Arabidopsis thaliana: one gene and its partner. The protein of the gene in region 2 interacts with the protein of the main gene of each other region in a pairwise test. Each region holds a gene or a part of one and is shown on either strand. Other genes may lie near its edges.

Evidence for each region. The genes of interacting proteins can lie anywhere in the genome.
Region 1: the proteins of ADL6 (region 2) and GAMMA-ADAPTIN 1 interact in a two-hybrid assay, tested with the Arabidopsis thaliana proteins (one study listed by BioGRID).

What each region holds. Positions count from the first base shown.
Region 1 is NC_003070.9:8,439,521-8,447,079, reverse strand, and holds the start of GAMMA-ADAPTIN 1 (gamma-adaptin 1), read right to left. Parts: upstream 6,002-7,559; 5' UTR 5,702-6,001; coding exon 5,670-5,701; intron 5,627-5,669; exon of another isoform or gene 5,313-5,626; coding exon 5,010-5,312; intron 4,835-5,009; coding exon 4,693-4,834; intron 4,595-4,692; coding exon 4,421-4,594; intron 4,157-4,420; coding exon 3,977-4,156; intron 3,453-3,976; coding exon 3,298-3,452; intron 3,064-3,297; coding exon 2,973-3,063; intron 2,870-2,972; coding exon 2,706-2,869; intron 2,573-2,705; coding exon 2,518-2,572; intron 2,366-2,517; coding exon 2,243-2,365; intron 2,158-2,242; coding exon 2,062-2,157; intron 1,936-2,061; coding exon 1,808-1,935; intron 1,562-1,807; coding exon 1,457-1,561; intron 1,357-1,456; coding exon 1,094-1,356; intron 934-1,093; coding exon 691-933; intron 602-690; coding exon 426-601; intron 305-425; coding exon 200-304; intron 24-199; coding exon 1-23. Other genes in the region: AT1G23890 (NHL domain-containing protein), read left to right, coding at 6,277-6,331, 6,416-6,586, 6,903-7,067, 7,199-7,399, 7,485-7,559. UniProt on the Arabidopsis thaliana protein: Subunit of clathrin-associated adaptor protein complex 1 that plays a role in protein sorting at the trans-Golgi network and early endosomes (TGN/EE).
Region 2 is NC_003070.9:3,368,579-3,376,434, reverse strand, and holds the start of ADL6 (dynamin-like protein 6), read right to left. Parts: upstream 6,034-7,856; 5' UTR 5,662-6,033; coding exon 5,521-5,661; intron 5,238-5,520; coding exon 5,187-5,237; intron 5,091-5,186; coding exon 4,970-5,090; intron 4,841-4,969; coding exon 4,748-4,840; intron 4,404-4,747; coding exon 4,342-4,403; intron 4,172-4,341; coding exon 4,054-4,171; intron 3,908-4,053; coding exon 3,571-3,907; intron 3,466-3,570; coding exon 3,318-3,465; intron 2,992-3,317; coding exon 2,890-2,991; intron 2,810-2,889; coding exon 2,690-2,809; intron 2,423-2,689; coding exon 2,339-2,422; intron 2,255-2,338; coding exon 2,127-2,254; intron 2,024-2,126; coding exon 1,939-2,023; intron 1,822-1,938; coding exon 1,683-1,821; intron 1,458-1,682; coding exon 1,381-1,457; intron 1,311-1,380; coding exon 1,254-1,310; intron 972-1,253; coding exon 827-971; intron 740-826; coding exon 600-739; intron 261-599; coding exon 147-260; intron 34-146; and 1 more. Other genes in the region: AT1G10280 (Core-2/I-branching beta-1,6-N-acetylglucosaminyltransferase family protein), read left to right, coding at 7,696-7,856. UniProt on the Arabidopsis thaliana protein: Microtubule-associated force-producing protein involved in clathrin-mediated vesicle trafficking from the trans-Golgi network to the central vacuole. Able to bind and hydrolyze GTP. Binds specifically to phosphatidylinositol 3-phosphate (PtdIns3P).

The DNA of each region.
Region 1 (7,559 bases), 5.1 Mb from region 2:
CTCATGCGCATCACAAGAGATTTCTGCAATAAACATTAAACCCTTAGTGTTATGTTAAGTCACTGAATCCACAGGCTCAGCCTATCTTTATTTGAGCATAGATTATGTTGTGGATCATCAAGTGCTATTCATCAATGCTGAGCACGGAATGTTGAAGACATAAAGTTAGATAGAAAGACGAACAGAGAATGTGCCATACCTTCCCCTGCTGGCTGTTAGTGACTCTTAGATTCTGCGTGATGGCACCACTACCGCTTGCCAGGAGTGTGTTACTGCTAGCTGGATCCAAGTGCAGCTGGAGGAACTGGAAGTTACACAAAAGAAAGAGAAGGTTAAAGAAAAAATTGAAATCTATTTACTGCTTTATCAATTGGGAAAGATGAATAAAGGGGAAAAAAGCAAAAAAAGAAGATAGATGTAATTACCTTTGGAACAGCAGCCTGGAATATAAAATCTGTGAAAGTATTGGGAGATAAATTAGTAAAAGTAGCCTGGACATTTGTCGTTTGCAGATTCCCTGGTGTCTTTGAGAAGGTGAACTCAATCTTCAAGGAGCTGCTCTCGTATGCAACAATAGGTGCATAAGCTGGACCATTGGTGGCTGCAATAAGGAGGAAAACTTGTTATTGACCTTTGTAAAAGAGTTTCAATGATTATACAGATCTTTTTCAGGTTAAGACTTTTTCCTACCTTCCTTCGATGGGCTTGGAGAAAGACCATCTAGCAAATCAAACATACCGGTGGACGAAGTTGTTGCTACGTGAGGTGGAGCTGGTGAAGAAAGTGTGTCTAGCGCAATTGAGGGATTATTGTTAACGTCAGCTATTGATAATAAACCAATAGATGATGTGCTGTTTTGTGCAGGAGAAGGTGTTCCAATTGATAGAATATCCAGCAACAGATCTGTGCCAGCTTTTGGAGCCTGGGTTGCACCTGAATCATTGGATAAAAAATGGAAGACCAAACATGAGTTATCCTTTTGCAAGGCAATGAGGAAAATGATTTTTTTAAAAACTTGTTCATTCAGAGACACATAGCAGATGAGCACGCCATAATATGAACGCAAGAGCTGTAGAACCGCCAAAGAACTAACCATATTGTGCTGACGATGAACCTAAGTCTACACCGAGAAGATCCTGAAGGAAATCTGTACCAGATGGACTAGGTGCAGCCATGATATCGTCAGAATCTAGGTCTAGCAAGTCCACAAGAGGAGCGACAGGAAGTTTCTCAACACCATTTTGAAGGCTAACTGAAGGCTTGGCCATGGTTGAAACTGATGCAGGAAAAGAGCCGGCCCTCCTCACATTGAAAGTAGCCTCATCCAGTACCGGCATTCTGTCAACCAGAGAAGACCTGTATGCACACATACCTCTATCATGAGCTTTGAGGGAGAGAGAATATGAAAAACTTACACTAGAAGATAGATGAGGAAGAGAGGCACAAGGGATTCCACCTGATATTTTTATGCCTGTCAACTATAGAATTGTATTCAATAGCTCTCTGCTGCATTTCAAGGAGAAGGCTTCCTTTCTGCTTCACAATTATGTCTTTAATTCTCCTGTCATTGAATTTTAGAAAACTTTTTAATTATCAATAGAGAGTTGAGGACAGGATGTACATGTATAATATATTTCTAATCTTTTTTCAGAAGGCAACGCGCTACAGTTTCTTGTAGACAGACCAAAATTTATTATTCATATACTAGTGCGCATATGCATCTTGTGTAGAGTTGAAAAGGGATAAGTGCAGATATCAGATGAACGAGTTGAGATAAAAACAGATAGCACAACGAGGTCAGACATACTCTGAAATAGAAGGAAAGCGGGATGACAACTTCAGTAGAGCAACCAATGCCATTGCTTTTGTAGTCGAATCTGAGTTATGGCGAGTAATGGCATCCTCGATAACGTCCACTGCATCAGATTCCGTTACCTGCTCAAGGCAGTCACATACTCGTTGCATATTTTTCAAAGCAAAAATGAAATCCCAAGAAGCAAAAGCATCTGCATATTTATCATGGAGCAAATAATGAATTAAGATTGCCATTGTGATGCTCACCGTTATTGGATCTTCAATACCAAGCATCCCCACATTGTTAACCAACAGATCACCATATTCCCCAATGCACCATACCGCCACTCGGACAAGGGTCTCCTGGTTATCATCTCAACGAAACCATATTAGAAAGGGTTACAACTGATTGAGGACTGAGCACAATCTAACATTAGAAAATAGCTACCTGTTCCGAATAAGTCAAGACTGATTTGTACAAGGCCCTAACTGTATATCCATGAAGCTCTGATGCATTGCTTATGACAACAATAAGTGCATGCCACACATCATCTTTCACAAACTTTCCAGCCTACTAACATGGAATAGATGACAATAGGTTATGACAGATACAAACAATGCATTTGAAATTAGCTTAAGCAGATATAAACTCTCAAACGATTTCAAAGAGTGCAATTAACTGGTAACACGTTACAGAGCATATTCTCGCGTTTGAATCCATACCTCACACAGAACCTTGAGCATCTGATCAATGTACCATAGTTTTTCTGGAGAAAACCTACATTATCAAAAAATTTAAAAAGTCAACAAAAACTTCAATCAACTAGACATTCACAGTAACTTTCCAATCATCCTGACCCCCAACTTTCTCAGAGTAAGTAGTCATTCTATTTCTTAAATAGAATACTTACTTTTCAACGATAAAACAAATTTTTGCACTAAGATCTTCCTTAAAATCTTCGTCGCTGATTTCCAAATAATCAATTAGCTCCTTTGTCAGTTGTGTGACATTGTTTTCATTCACCAAAAGAGTGACAAGCTCAAGAGCTCTTTTCCGGATAGAAGCATCTGGGTCCTATATTGTTATGGAAGCAGAAACCAAATTAGCATTTTTTATTTCTCTAAGATATACTTAGCAGTTAACATTGTATAAAATATTTTCCTGGTAATACTAATACCTTCACACATTCCAAAATTGTAACTCTGTGCCTTTGCACTGCTTGATCATCGAAAGTGATAGCTTTCATCAGCATGTTTAATGCAACATATCTGAGAGAACGAAAGTATGAATTTCATAAGGGAATGCAGCGTTTTTGAGAGAAACGAAATCAAGATTAGAAAAGGCAACGCTGGTTGGTCAGAAGAGCATTGTGTGCTTCATAGAGTTAAGCACATCCAAAGAAAGATGATAGACAGAAGAAAAATACAAGTAAGCTAGTTCCATTACAAACATATATAATACCATACTATTATCAAATAAAATTGAGGTGTAGGGGGTTGAACCTGATGTTATTGTCGCGGTTAGATAAGAATCTTCCCAAGATATTGATAGCAAGCACACGCAAGCTATTGGTGTCTTCAATGGCCATGATTGTTTCAACACACTCATAGAGTACCGCATTCCCTGCGTTTTTGTTTGATTCAGTTTTTGTTGCCACCTACAATAGCATGAAACCAACGAGAATAAATATCAAAGAACCAGGATAACAAAGTATCCGACAGTAGATCCCTGACTTTGAACTCAAAAGATTTCCAAAACAAAGCATGTAACAGACGCAGGATGCATTCATCATGGTGAGATAGAAAAGGATTGGCGCAGCCTACAGATTTATATGTCCGTCCACAAATCAACACTTACTATGACAACAAAGACCGGTATCAAAAGAGGGAGAATTCAAGTACGGCAAAAACTCAGTAACCAATAAGTCTTCTATCTACCAAAGAGAATAATAGCCCATGAACCCTATCAACGAAATGAAATTCTTTCTCCATTATGCTATATTTAACAGAATCAGTTCCAGCACATGAGAGAGCATAGCTATCTTACAACATTTTTCCGAAAAAATATATGTAAGGTAACTGGAACAAAAACCATAAACCGTTGATGTTTAACAAAGGAATTACATCGCAAATGTGAAGATGGTCAACCATATCCAGAATCACTTGCTAAACTATGACTAACCTGTGCAAGTATATCTGTCATCAAATCACTAGCATCAGCATCACCCTGGCCTAAAACACGCAAGAGCCTGAGCAACCGTATGTGGAGAAAAGGGTCTGTGATCCCTGCAACATCATACTCAGGCTGATATGCGCTATTAGTAATATCCCTCAAAGTTTTTATCAGTCCCTCTGTGCATTTCTGCAGAGACAAAACAAAGACAAGGGTTTGTCAAAACTGACGGTCTGATAAAACAATATAACAACCTGATTGTCTGCCTCATTTCAGCAGAGTAATCTATTTATAAGTGAATACCACAGATATCAAACTTTATTGCAAGAGAAAAATAGTACACAAAAGCATCATACAGGTAATATAGTATCATATGTACGCATATTCAATTAAATTACGTCGATGCTCCTGTATGCATAAGTAGAGTGTTCTGTATAATATTTATAGACTTACCGTTCTGAAGTACTCTAGGGCTTCATCATTAATCGTGCATAATTCATAACAAAGTTGAACTCCTGTTATAAGAACCCCATGATGCTTTTCTTTAAGCAAGGAAGCAGCAGCATTTACGAAGTTTTCTGCTAGATCTGGAACTTTCCTTATTATTCTAGTAGAGCAAAGCGCCGCCTGCATATAATACAACATAAATGGTAAAGGCAATGAAGGAAAAAAAAAAAGCGACTAAACTCCAGGAGACCCTGTATATGAATTAGAAAACACTTCACCTTCTTTCGGATATTAGGGTCACGAAACTGGATTAATCTTTCTACTTCTGGCGCAAGATCACGGGCCATTTCTGCTGAACAAATATTCCCTAAAGCACAGAGAGCAAGTCCTACAACATACTGGTTCGAGTGATTAAGATCTCTGCACGTGACTTAAGGTTAAACAGGAACAAATCTATTTAAATATTTTTCTCCTTAATTCCCATAACAGCAATGCAATCAAAAATCAAGTGTTCTCTAGTATTTTTTAACATAGAAGAAGAATCCATTCAAAGGCCAAGGTATCAAGATTTAATACTAGAAATTAGTAAGGATACTGTTTTAACGAATTTGTGACAAGCATCAACACTTCTTGTCTCTCATCAAGAAGCAACATTAGCCCTAGATATCCAATCCTCTTCTCTGGAAATCCAGGAGATGCAATTAGCTTCAAGCACTCCATCTGCCCAAAGTGTGTGGGATAACCCAGCATGTGTATAAACATGAGTTTCGCAAGGTTCCGGTGCCGATCATGCGGGTCATCTTCATTAATCAATGCTCGAATATCGGCACACTCCTTTCTTACAACAGCTCGCTCCTCCGCAGCTGTTTTGCATGCTCTTATGGCACGGATCATGTCCCTGAATCATACTCATATGTCCACTATAACTTCAGAACCATATACAATAATCCGATCTGATTCCACTATTAAACCCCAACAGCAACATGACCAATCCAATATTCAATTAAATTAAGCAAAAGGATTACCAAAAATCCTTAGTGTGATCATGTTCTTAGACTAAAATCAAAATTCTAAATGGAATCAGAAACACCAATACCAAATTCATCTTCGAAACAGGCCAATCAACAAAATTCAATCCTCAAATGAAAACGAGCTCAATTACATCATGTTATATTCAAATTTCATTTGTAAGCTGATCAACGACTAAGAAACCTGAAACAGAAACGATAAAAAGGAAAGAAGAGAATCAATTTACCTTAAACGAGTACCAGAAGAAAAGGGATTCATGATTTGGGGTGTTCAAGAGTTGGACCTTGGTCCACCGGCAACTTTACGAGGAATCTGAAGAAAATGAAAACTTAGCCGGGAAGAAGAGTTTCGCCGCCGGGATTGTGAAAATCCGTTACCGGAGTTTCGAGTAGCTGATCAATACGAGAGAGAGAGATGAAAATGAAACTGAGGATTTGGATCTCGATGGACGATGCTCGTTTTTTTCTTCTCAGTCTTCGTAAACCATAATTGCCAAATTAAATGCGTTGTATAAACATGACTTCCATTTCCACCTAAACGGTAACGTTTCGACCAGCAATCCTCTCAAAACAAAAACATAGACTGGGCCGTTTCTTTATAGTTAAACACATAAATGGGCCCTACTTGGGCCGTTTTTATTAGTCAAATTTGAGAGGGTCGATGATACGCGCTCTTTCATTGGTTGTTACACAAATTCTCCCCTACACTTGAACACATCATAGTATCGCTCAGGCCCTAGTATCTTTTTAAAACCTTTAAAGATGCTAAGCAGCAAAAATAAGTAACACAACACAAGTTACACAGAACAGTCGCTTTCTCCTCTCGATTTTGACATGGCTTGGGGATTTTCGTCCGTGTCTCTCTTCTTGTTCGTCGTTTTCAATCTGGGTATATTTTCAAAAATCTGTTAATTCAGTTGAATTTCCCAACCCAAAATTCGAATTTTTAATTTTCCTCATGATTTTGTTACAGTGAGTGGTAAGATAGTTTTAGAAGAAGGGTACGAAGTCACAACGGTGGTCGATGGCCATAAGTCTGGTCTGAATCCATACACGATTCATGCTTTACCAGGATCTTCTAATCTGATCGTCCTTGATTCTTCCGGCAGTACATTTTACACTACTTCCTTTCCTTTGTCCGTTGGTAAACACCCACAAAACCACTCTTTTGTCTCATCTATTAATCGGATCATTATAATTGTGTTTGTATATGAGTTGTAAATTCATGGATGCATAAGTAAATGTTTAGAGCTTGTTGATTTTGATTGCAAGTCTTGACCTTCATTTTTTCTTTCTCCGTAATCTCAAATTGGACCACAATACTAATATGTGTGTGTATGTGTGTGAAACGATCAACCTGCAAATAAAAGTTCTAAACTTTACTATAAGTGAAAATTTTGTTTATCTTTCTTTCAATTGAAGTTTGAGCTCACTTTGAGTATGTGTGTGTGGTTGTGCAGATAGTGTGATAAACCGGTTTGCTGGGGATGGGAGTTCGGGTCATGTAGATGGTAAAGCTGGTAACAGCCGGTTCAGCAAACCCCGTGGTTTTGCTGTGGATGCTAAAGGGAATGTTTATGTTGCTGATAAGAGTAATAAAGCTATACGGAAGATCAGCTCTTCAGGTGTTTGTTTAATCCATTTCTTGTATTCCTTTTGTATAAATGCTAGTTGTTGTTGTTGTCTAATCTTAGTTTGTTGAAAGAGCCACTTAGTTTATTTTGATTATGCATGTTTTATTTACTGGACTTTGTAGGTTCTGTAACCACCATTGCTGGAGGGATCTCAAAGGCATTTGGACACAGAGATGGACCTGCACAGAATGCTACTTTCTCTAGCGATTTCGAGATAACTTTTGTTCCTCAAAGATGTTGTTTGCTTGTTTCTGATCATGGAAATGAAATGATTCGCCAGATAAATCTTAAGGAGGAGGATTGCCTCGAAAACTCTCATTCTAGTATGTCTTTTCTATAAGTAATCTTTTGTGGATTTGACTAACCATGCCTTTGGAAACTTCAACGATTCTTCTTTCACTGTTTCAGATTTGGGGACATACTCTCTTTGGTCAATAGGGATTGTCCTTTCCTGCATTCTCGGGGTAGCCATTGGATTTGCTG
Region 2 (7,856 bases):
CTTTGCTTTCTCTACTTGACAAAGAACAACAGCCTGTTCATGGTCAATTCACATCGCTTAGTAGCATGACCGAGGAATCTCTGTAAGAGAAAAGAGATGGACAAGAAAATTTAGAGCTTTCGAGCTTTTGCATAAGGATAGTTCACCTTTGGAACATTGGCTGCAAGGCTGTTAAGAACAGCTTCAACGTAACCCCGTACTTCTTGGGACATCCACCGGAGCTCCTCTTCTGGATCGATGGGTTTCCTAACCATCTTATCCTGAAATACAGACAAGGAAAAAAACGTAAGTCTCAGAAAATATTATAAACAATAAAAACCTTAAATGTCAAACATAACTTATGTCAAGTTTAAAAGTAGTATCATGCATACCCCATAAACTGAGCCTTCTATAGGAAAAATGTTTCAATAATAAAAATTCGACAATGTTCAATAAAACATAAATAGCTTTGTTTGCTCTTCCAACAGTTTCAAACCTTCCGAAGTGAAGTTTCAAACTTTCTTCATAGTGATAATAAGTAATCCATAAGACTAGTGAACGTATCTAACATAGATTTAAGGAAGAGGAAATGTAAGAAAAGCTGCCCATGAGTGACTCACAAGTGAACCTTCTGAAAGACTCTGCCTCATGGAAACACTGCCCACTTGGCCTCCACGAGCCTGGATAACCTTTTGCAACTTATTAATCCACTCGTTCTTGTCGACTACACTCTCAGCCTTAAGCACAAGGGCATTGTGAGCTGCAACATAATAGTTTGAGGAAAACTCATAAAAGTGCGAATAGAAGATTAAGAAGTTTGAATTCTTATAATGATTGATTTATGTACCTTTGAGTACAGTCTTATAGGGAACCTTGCAGGTTATTTTAAACACAAGGCCTGGTCCTTTTGAATCAGGTCCATTTGCCTTCTTGTCCTTCGAGCTCTTTGACTTTTCTACTTCGTCCTCGGGGATTTCTTCAATAGTGCATTCCTGAGTGGATTAATAAAGTTGGAGGAAGTATAATTAGAAAAACATGGAAAAAATGTTATCTATAGAGTATCCAAATTTCTCATCGATAATAACAGAACTATTAAATATTTGAAGCATAAGCTTCAAAATACACAAGTAATTGTCACTCTCCAAGAAGGAAACAGTGTGGGAGAAAATAACAAGGTGAATACGAACTATATTCTTCTCTAATTCTTTTTTCCATGTCATATCTAATTATAGTTCACCTTTGGCAGAAAATAAAGCATAGGAAGAGAATGGTACCTCCAAAGTTATCGTGCCCCGAAAGTTTCTTTCTTCTTGCTTTTTGGTATAGCCAAGCTAGAAAAAGGTAAACAGTAAAGTCAGTAAGTTCTCAACAACTGAAGAATATACGTTTCAAAATGCTGACCTTTCCAGTTTTCTCATTCAGAACAAACCATCGCCTACTCCACCCATTTGTTTTTGCACTTTTCTTCATTAAGTACCCTAAATGAAAAGAGTAAGTATTTGTTATCTACCTTGGAAGTTAGTTTTGTCAAGTTAGTTTTAAGTGATAAAGAAGAAAAAGACATGAAGAAATCATGCACTTGGACTAAGAGCAAAGCTTTGCAGCAATAAAATCATGCAACGTAAGGAAAGCAAATCGGGAGTGAAAAAGCAGAATGAAACTTTTTAGACAGTAACTGGGTAGATGTATATTAGAATAACAACCTGCTGTTATCTCCCCCTCAGGTCCAGCAGTTTTCAGACCAGAGACCTCCGGCGTCTCTTTATCTTGCGGACTAGGTTTGTCTTTCATTGATTTTAAGCTACCACCAGCTGTTGGCCCATCTGGCTGAGGACTAGTAGCCTGATAAACATATATGTAGAGAATTTCCACATTATATATTTTCATGTAAAACGATAAAAAAAAAAAAAAAACATTTTTCACTACGTATATCCAAATTGATACAGAATGAACACACACCCTGCTTAAAAGGGACTGCTCTGCATCTTGTCCCTTCTTAGAAGATCGCCCTTTCAGCTCTTCCTCGCGACGTTGTCTTTCCATTCTGATGGAGTCAATACAGTGCATCGTCAGAAAGAGAAATAATTTTCAGTCATGAACCATTGAAAATAAAAACAAAAATTGCAAAGAAAGACAAGCCAAAATACCTCCTTTGCACAAGACGGATAAAATGTTGAGGTGGTACAAAAGCGCGTTCCATATCAACTAGTGCAACCACCATTTTCTTGGCTTCATTCTTGAAACCATCAAGTGCTGCACTTGCTATAGCTACAACCTGGTTGATGATTAGTCAGAAAGGAATAACTGTTACCGAAATGATAAAATATTACTGAATAAAGCACCAAAAAATCATTATTACCTCTCGCTTGAAAGGAGGATATCTCCCAAGTCCAGGTGTAGCATTTGCAGAAGCTGAAACTATGTCAACAAGAACTCGGTGAACCTAATCAAAAGTTAAGACCATGTTAGCTCAACACGTAAATAAGACAGAAGCTGGATGCATGAGTTTTAAAGTAGGAACCAAAAAATAGCTACATCTACGGTAAGGGATATTAACTTACTAAGGCTTATAAACCAGAAAACTTGACAGAACTCTAAATAACAGTTCGAAGAATTAAAGTGAGACAAGCCATAGCCAGTTCACAATGCAGTAAATTTCTAAAATTCAATCCTACTGCATGTACCTAAAAAAACATGTAAACAAGCACACCTCATCAACACAAAGGCGTGCCGGGTCTTTAGCCAACTCAAGGACAATCTTTATCAACGATCTCAACCCTTTCTCTGGAGATATAAGATAAGGTTGATAACCATCTGCCTCCAAAACAACCTGAAAATCAAAGATATTTTGACAAATCAAGTCTCAAAACTTGTCTCGTGCAGAAACTTAGGACAGAAGAAGACACCCACCCTTTTAACATTGTTCAGGTCAAAATGTCTATCCAATGGAAGCTGCTTGATACGGTTGGGGAAATTTCCTTCAAAACTTGCAACAACTTTCCAACCACTTCCCTGAACAAGAATCAAAAAGTTTTGAGAAAAACATTTGCCAAGCTCCAAAAGGGACTTCAGCCCATAAACTGAACACAGACAAGTACAAAAACTCTATATCAAACACTCAGTTGGCTTATACACATATTATAAACATCCACTATCAGATTCATGAGATTCCCAACAATATAATGTGCTCTTACCAAGCGTAGGCTAGCAAGAGACTTTCCACTACACTAGTACCAAATCTGAAATGGCTGATTGCTAATATTTGAAGAGTTCTTCTCTCTCACTATATTCTTGAATTTTCGACTAAATCTAGTTAACTTTTGTAAGAATGTACTTACTTCACCACCAGCCAAGTGCAGAAGAAACTTGTCTTCAAACTCACGGCAAAGCTCCAAAGCTATAGCCCTTGTACCTTCAGCACTGTTAACTAGTTGTTCACCAAGCCTCGCTAGCTCATCCTGCACTATTTGAGACTTACCCTGGAGCCTGTACAAAGAATTTGAAAGCCATATGCGTTCAAGCAACCAATGTCATATGCCAACACCATAATAAAAATCATGAAGAAAGCACATATATGGAGAGAAGCAATACCCAGACAGGACACTTGGAAGCCTGAGCTTCATTCTGCTACGAATCTGGCTAGCAAGGGTATCCACCAACGCAATTCTGCCAAGCTTGCTTTGTGGAGCCCCAGTCAAAATGGACTTAAGACTTTCACTCTCAGCACGCCAAGCAGTTTCTAAGGAGTTCTCACCACTTCCAGACTGTGCTGACGCAATTGAAACGGATTGGCCAATAACAGCAACCCATGGAATGTCAGTTGTTTTTGGAGGTCCTTGATTTGAAAGAAGAGCCTGAACAGCTGCAAGGGCTTTCGAGTTCTCTGCTGCCTGGTCAATTTTTCCAATAATGCCTATTGTCCTAGTACCTATAAGTAGGGAGGAGTGATGTTAGCTAATGAGTATTTTAAGCAAACTGAAGTGATAATAGGTAGGTAAATCAACAGTTCTTATCAGGTATACAAATAATAAACAATATTAAGATAAGACAGATCGGAAATACAGATGTACTCACTCTCTGGATCATACTCCTTTGCAATCTTCAGGGCTCGGGATGATGAAATTTCAGATGCCTGGCTAGCAGGCACTATAACCAGCAGTATGGCATCATTGTGTTGCGCGTATTCAGCAATCTTGCAAAGAGACCCAAGAAACAAACAACAATTTCAAAAGGATAAACATGATAATGAATCTATATTATCACTTCAGTAGGAAACCGATAAAAATAGTCAAAATCTTTTGTTTCGTGGTTGTCAGGCAAGTTAAGGATATGACAATGGCATTAAGTAGTTCCAAGCCTCACCATTGACTCGTCCACAATTCTCTGGTCCAGTCCAGGCAGATCAACTAATTTCAATGGTGGAGCTGCAATGTAAAGGGTAAACGTAACAGGTTATGATGGTCAAAGAAAATTTAATACTACGAAACTGTCGGTCATATGTCATATGTCATAACTCATGTTCAAAAGAGTGTGTACTGTTTATGTTAAAGCTCCGTTAGATATTTAATCTGATACCCACCAAAGTAAAGCTAGAAGCTCTAAACTAGTGTACTAGATAGTATATAAGGATAGCAAGATATTACAGCTGACCAGTTCACGGGTATCAAAGATAAATTCATACACCCAACTTAGGTTAGCTAAGGATGTGCTATTTGAAGAGTAGATATAGGCTTGCCACTTATGATTGTGCAAGTAAAAAGGGGCTTACCTGTGCTGGTACGAAGTTTTAAGTTTATTTCATCACGATTCTTCCCTGAGGCTCCTTTGCTAAGTCTATCTTGCAGAGAATGTCTCAAAGCACCTAAAATATACCCATGTAGAACACAATGGAGATATTATGAGAAGACTGATCGAAATTTTTTTATCATAAATGCAGAAAGAGCCTCACATAGCATTGCTAAATTGCATATGTTCATAGATAGAGACTTACTTGCAGAAACTTGTTGAGATTTATTGTCGATTTGCAAGATAATTGCCTTGCTGCTCAAAGAACTCTCCCTGCTCAATTCAATTATTATAGGAGCTCGTGTAGCACCATTCTCACCCGTCGGCTGTGTATAGTAAGTGTAGCAGACACAACAGAGGTCAGTATTAGTATAAGAAAAGGAGTAAGCCAATAATAACCATAGACTCAATGTACAACTTACCAGCACTGGATGCCCAATTAGACTGTTTAGAACTGCAGACTTTCCAGCTCCCTGGTTCAGTATGCAAAAAGAGATAAGTAACAAATAACAAAATACATCAGCCTTCTCCGGCACGAGTCGCTCCTCATGTAACCATATATCCACTAATAAAGAGAATCCCAACAAAACTAGCTATAAACGATGAGTGTGTCCTAGCAAAATTCGATAAAAACCTAATCTAGATCCAGAAGATCCACGATATGGCAATCCAACATACACTCGAACACAGAATAAAACCAGCACGAGCCTAAAGAGAGGAAAATCGAGGAGCGTGGAGTGAGAGCGAGGAACTCACCACATTTCCCAAGGCAACGACGTTGAGGAAAGTGGCAGGGCGCTTGGAAGAAGAGGTTTCGTCGGGATCTTCGTCGGCGAGGAGAGACGCCGCCTGCTTCATCGAATCTGAGAGCTGAGACAACTCATCGATCGCCTCCATCGCGACTAGCAAAAGCCCTCCGCGAATCGAGATCGAGTAACCGATTCAAAGTGAAGAGATCTGGAGGAAGAAGGAAGCCACTCGATTAGATCTGAGCAGACCGGAACCGAAATCGGCGGCAATAGGCGGGGTCTTTCCCGGTGAGACGATGGGCCGGAATTTGGAATCCGGTCGCGATGGTGTTAAGCTAAGATTTTTCGTTGGGGATTTCGTAAGGGAAGGCAGAAATGAGCGAAGACGAGGTCATAAAGAGGACGTACGTAAGATTTCACAATTACACGGGACAAGATTCAAATTTCAAAAGACTTACAAAAATCATATCTTTCTAATTTTTTTCTGATCGGTCTCAAGTGCTTCTTCTTTTTCTTACTTAAAAAAAAAAAAAAAAAAACAATGTGATGTGAAATACACATAAAAAAATAAAAAAAAATTATCAGTTCATTTAACAATTTATCATCTATTAGATCCATTCATATAACATTAGATGATGTTGGAATCCCACATTACTAAATCAATGTGAAGGTTCAAATAAAAATGTAATCAAATGTTGTTGTGGATCTCGTTGTTGTTCATATAGTTCTCGCGACATAATTTACCTCAAGGGAAGGCAAACAAAAAATCTATTCACAAGGTGTAACTATTTTCGTAAACTATTATAGTTTTTTTTTGGACAAACAACCCCTACTAAAATCTATTTGGTGTATGTTTTTTGAATAATTGATCCTACCAACCTAATTTTTTTGAACTATATGTGTTTTTTGTTGCCTGAATCTCATCTTCCCTTCTTTAGAACTGTTGTCTATCATCATACCTTCCAACATCTTAGGACTAGTTTGGCAATGTTGACAATTCTTTGTGATGTATGACAAGTATAATTATAAGGAAAAAATAAATAAACATTGGACATAAAAATCAGAAATTTCCAAGCTAACTATATGAAATTTCTAGGCACATTTCTTGGTTCTTTTGATACCATTTCTTTTTCCTTTTGGACATCTGGATATCATATTGTTTGTTTGGGATACTAGTTCTTCCCAAGTTTTTAATCTTAATTAGCTGCTTTGGATCCTTAATAGAAAAATAAACATTTCATATATTCCGGAAATTAGTATAGCCATCGGTTTTAGATTTTCTGGTGATTAAGATATAAGAAGATATTTTTTCAAATATAATAATGAAAAAACAAAATCTACAAATCATTAAAAAGGAAAAAAAAAATCAAAATTAGAATACAATACATTGTCTCAATACTATAACATAACCAAAAGAAGCATCAATAAATTTTACTAATAGTTAATAAGTACAGAAAAAATCGAAAAATTCTAGAAATGTTAAAAGTAATTTTTTTAAAAATAGTAAGGATATAGAAATTAGATAATCAATAAGTTTGACTACTGGATATCTAGAATTATTTCTATAAAAAAAAAAGTGAAATGTCGGACCAAAGAGTTGACGAGCACTAAACCACGTCACAATTAAACGTGGGCCCTCCGGCCCAATAACTTAAAACCAATAGATTATTCCCATCTGGCAAGATCTGCGGACTTTGAACTCGTTATGCTTTTCGACGTGGAGTTTTAAACTCAATTAATCTAATTAAATTAAGCATAACATTCCAATTAATTTTGTTCTTTTATATATATAAGATCAAAATCAACCACACACACACATAGATTTCAACTGGAAGAAACAAAAGACCAGATTTGTTTATGTTTCTTCTTCTTCTTCTTCCTCTCTGCATGAAATTCAGTTTCTGATCTGTTTCAGTCATCGTTTCTCACTTTCCTCGAAGATTTCCACAGATCCAATTTCCATTTATCCACTTACCTTTTTCGATTTCGTTTGATCCTTGGATTTAATTATATGTTACAAATTTAGGAAATTTCTCGAGGAGATTGAATGCAATGGATTTGTGCTTGAAACAATCAGATTCTCTTTGAATCATAAGAATGTTTCCCTGAAACTTTATTTTTGGGGAACAGAGATCATCACTGTGTTGTTGTTTGGGTAGACAAGTTTTGAGTTTCTCGAACAATGGCGAGAGGAGGGAAAGAGGAAGGAGAAAAACACATAGGGTTACTAAAGCTGGCGCAAACGCTGTCGTTTTTGCTAATTTTCATGGCTGGAATCATCATCGGTCTCGCCGCAAGTTCTCACATCGATCGCTACTTCAATTCTTTGCCGAGGATGTTCTC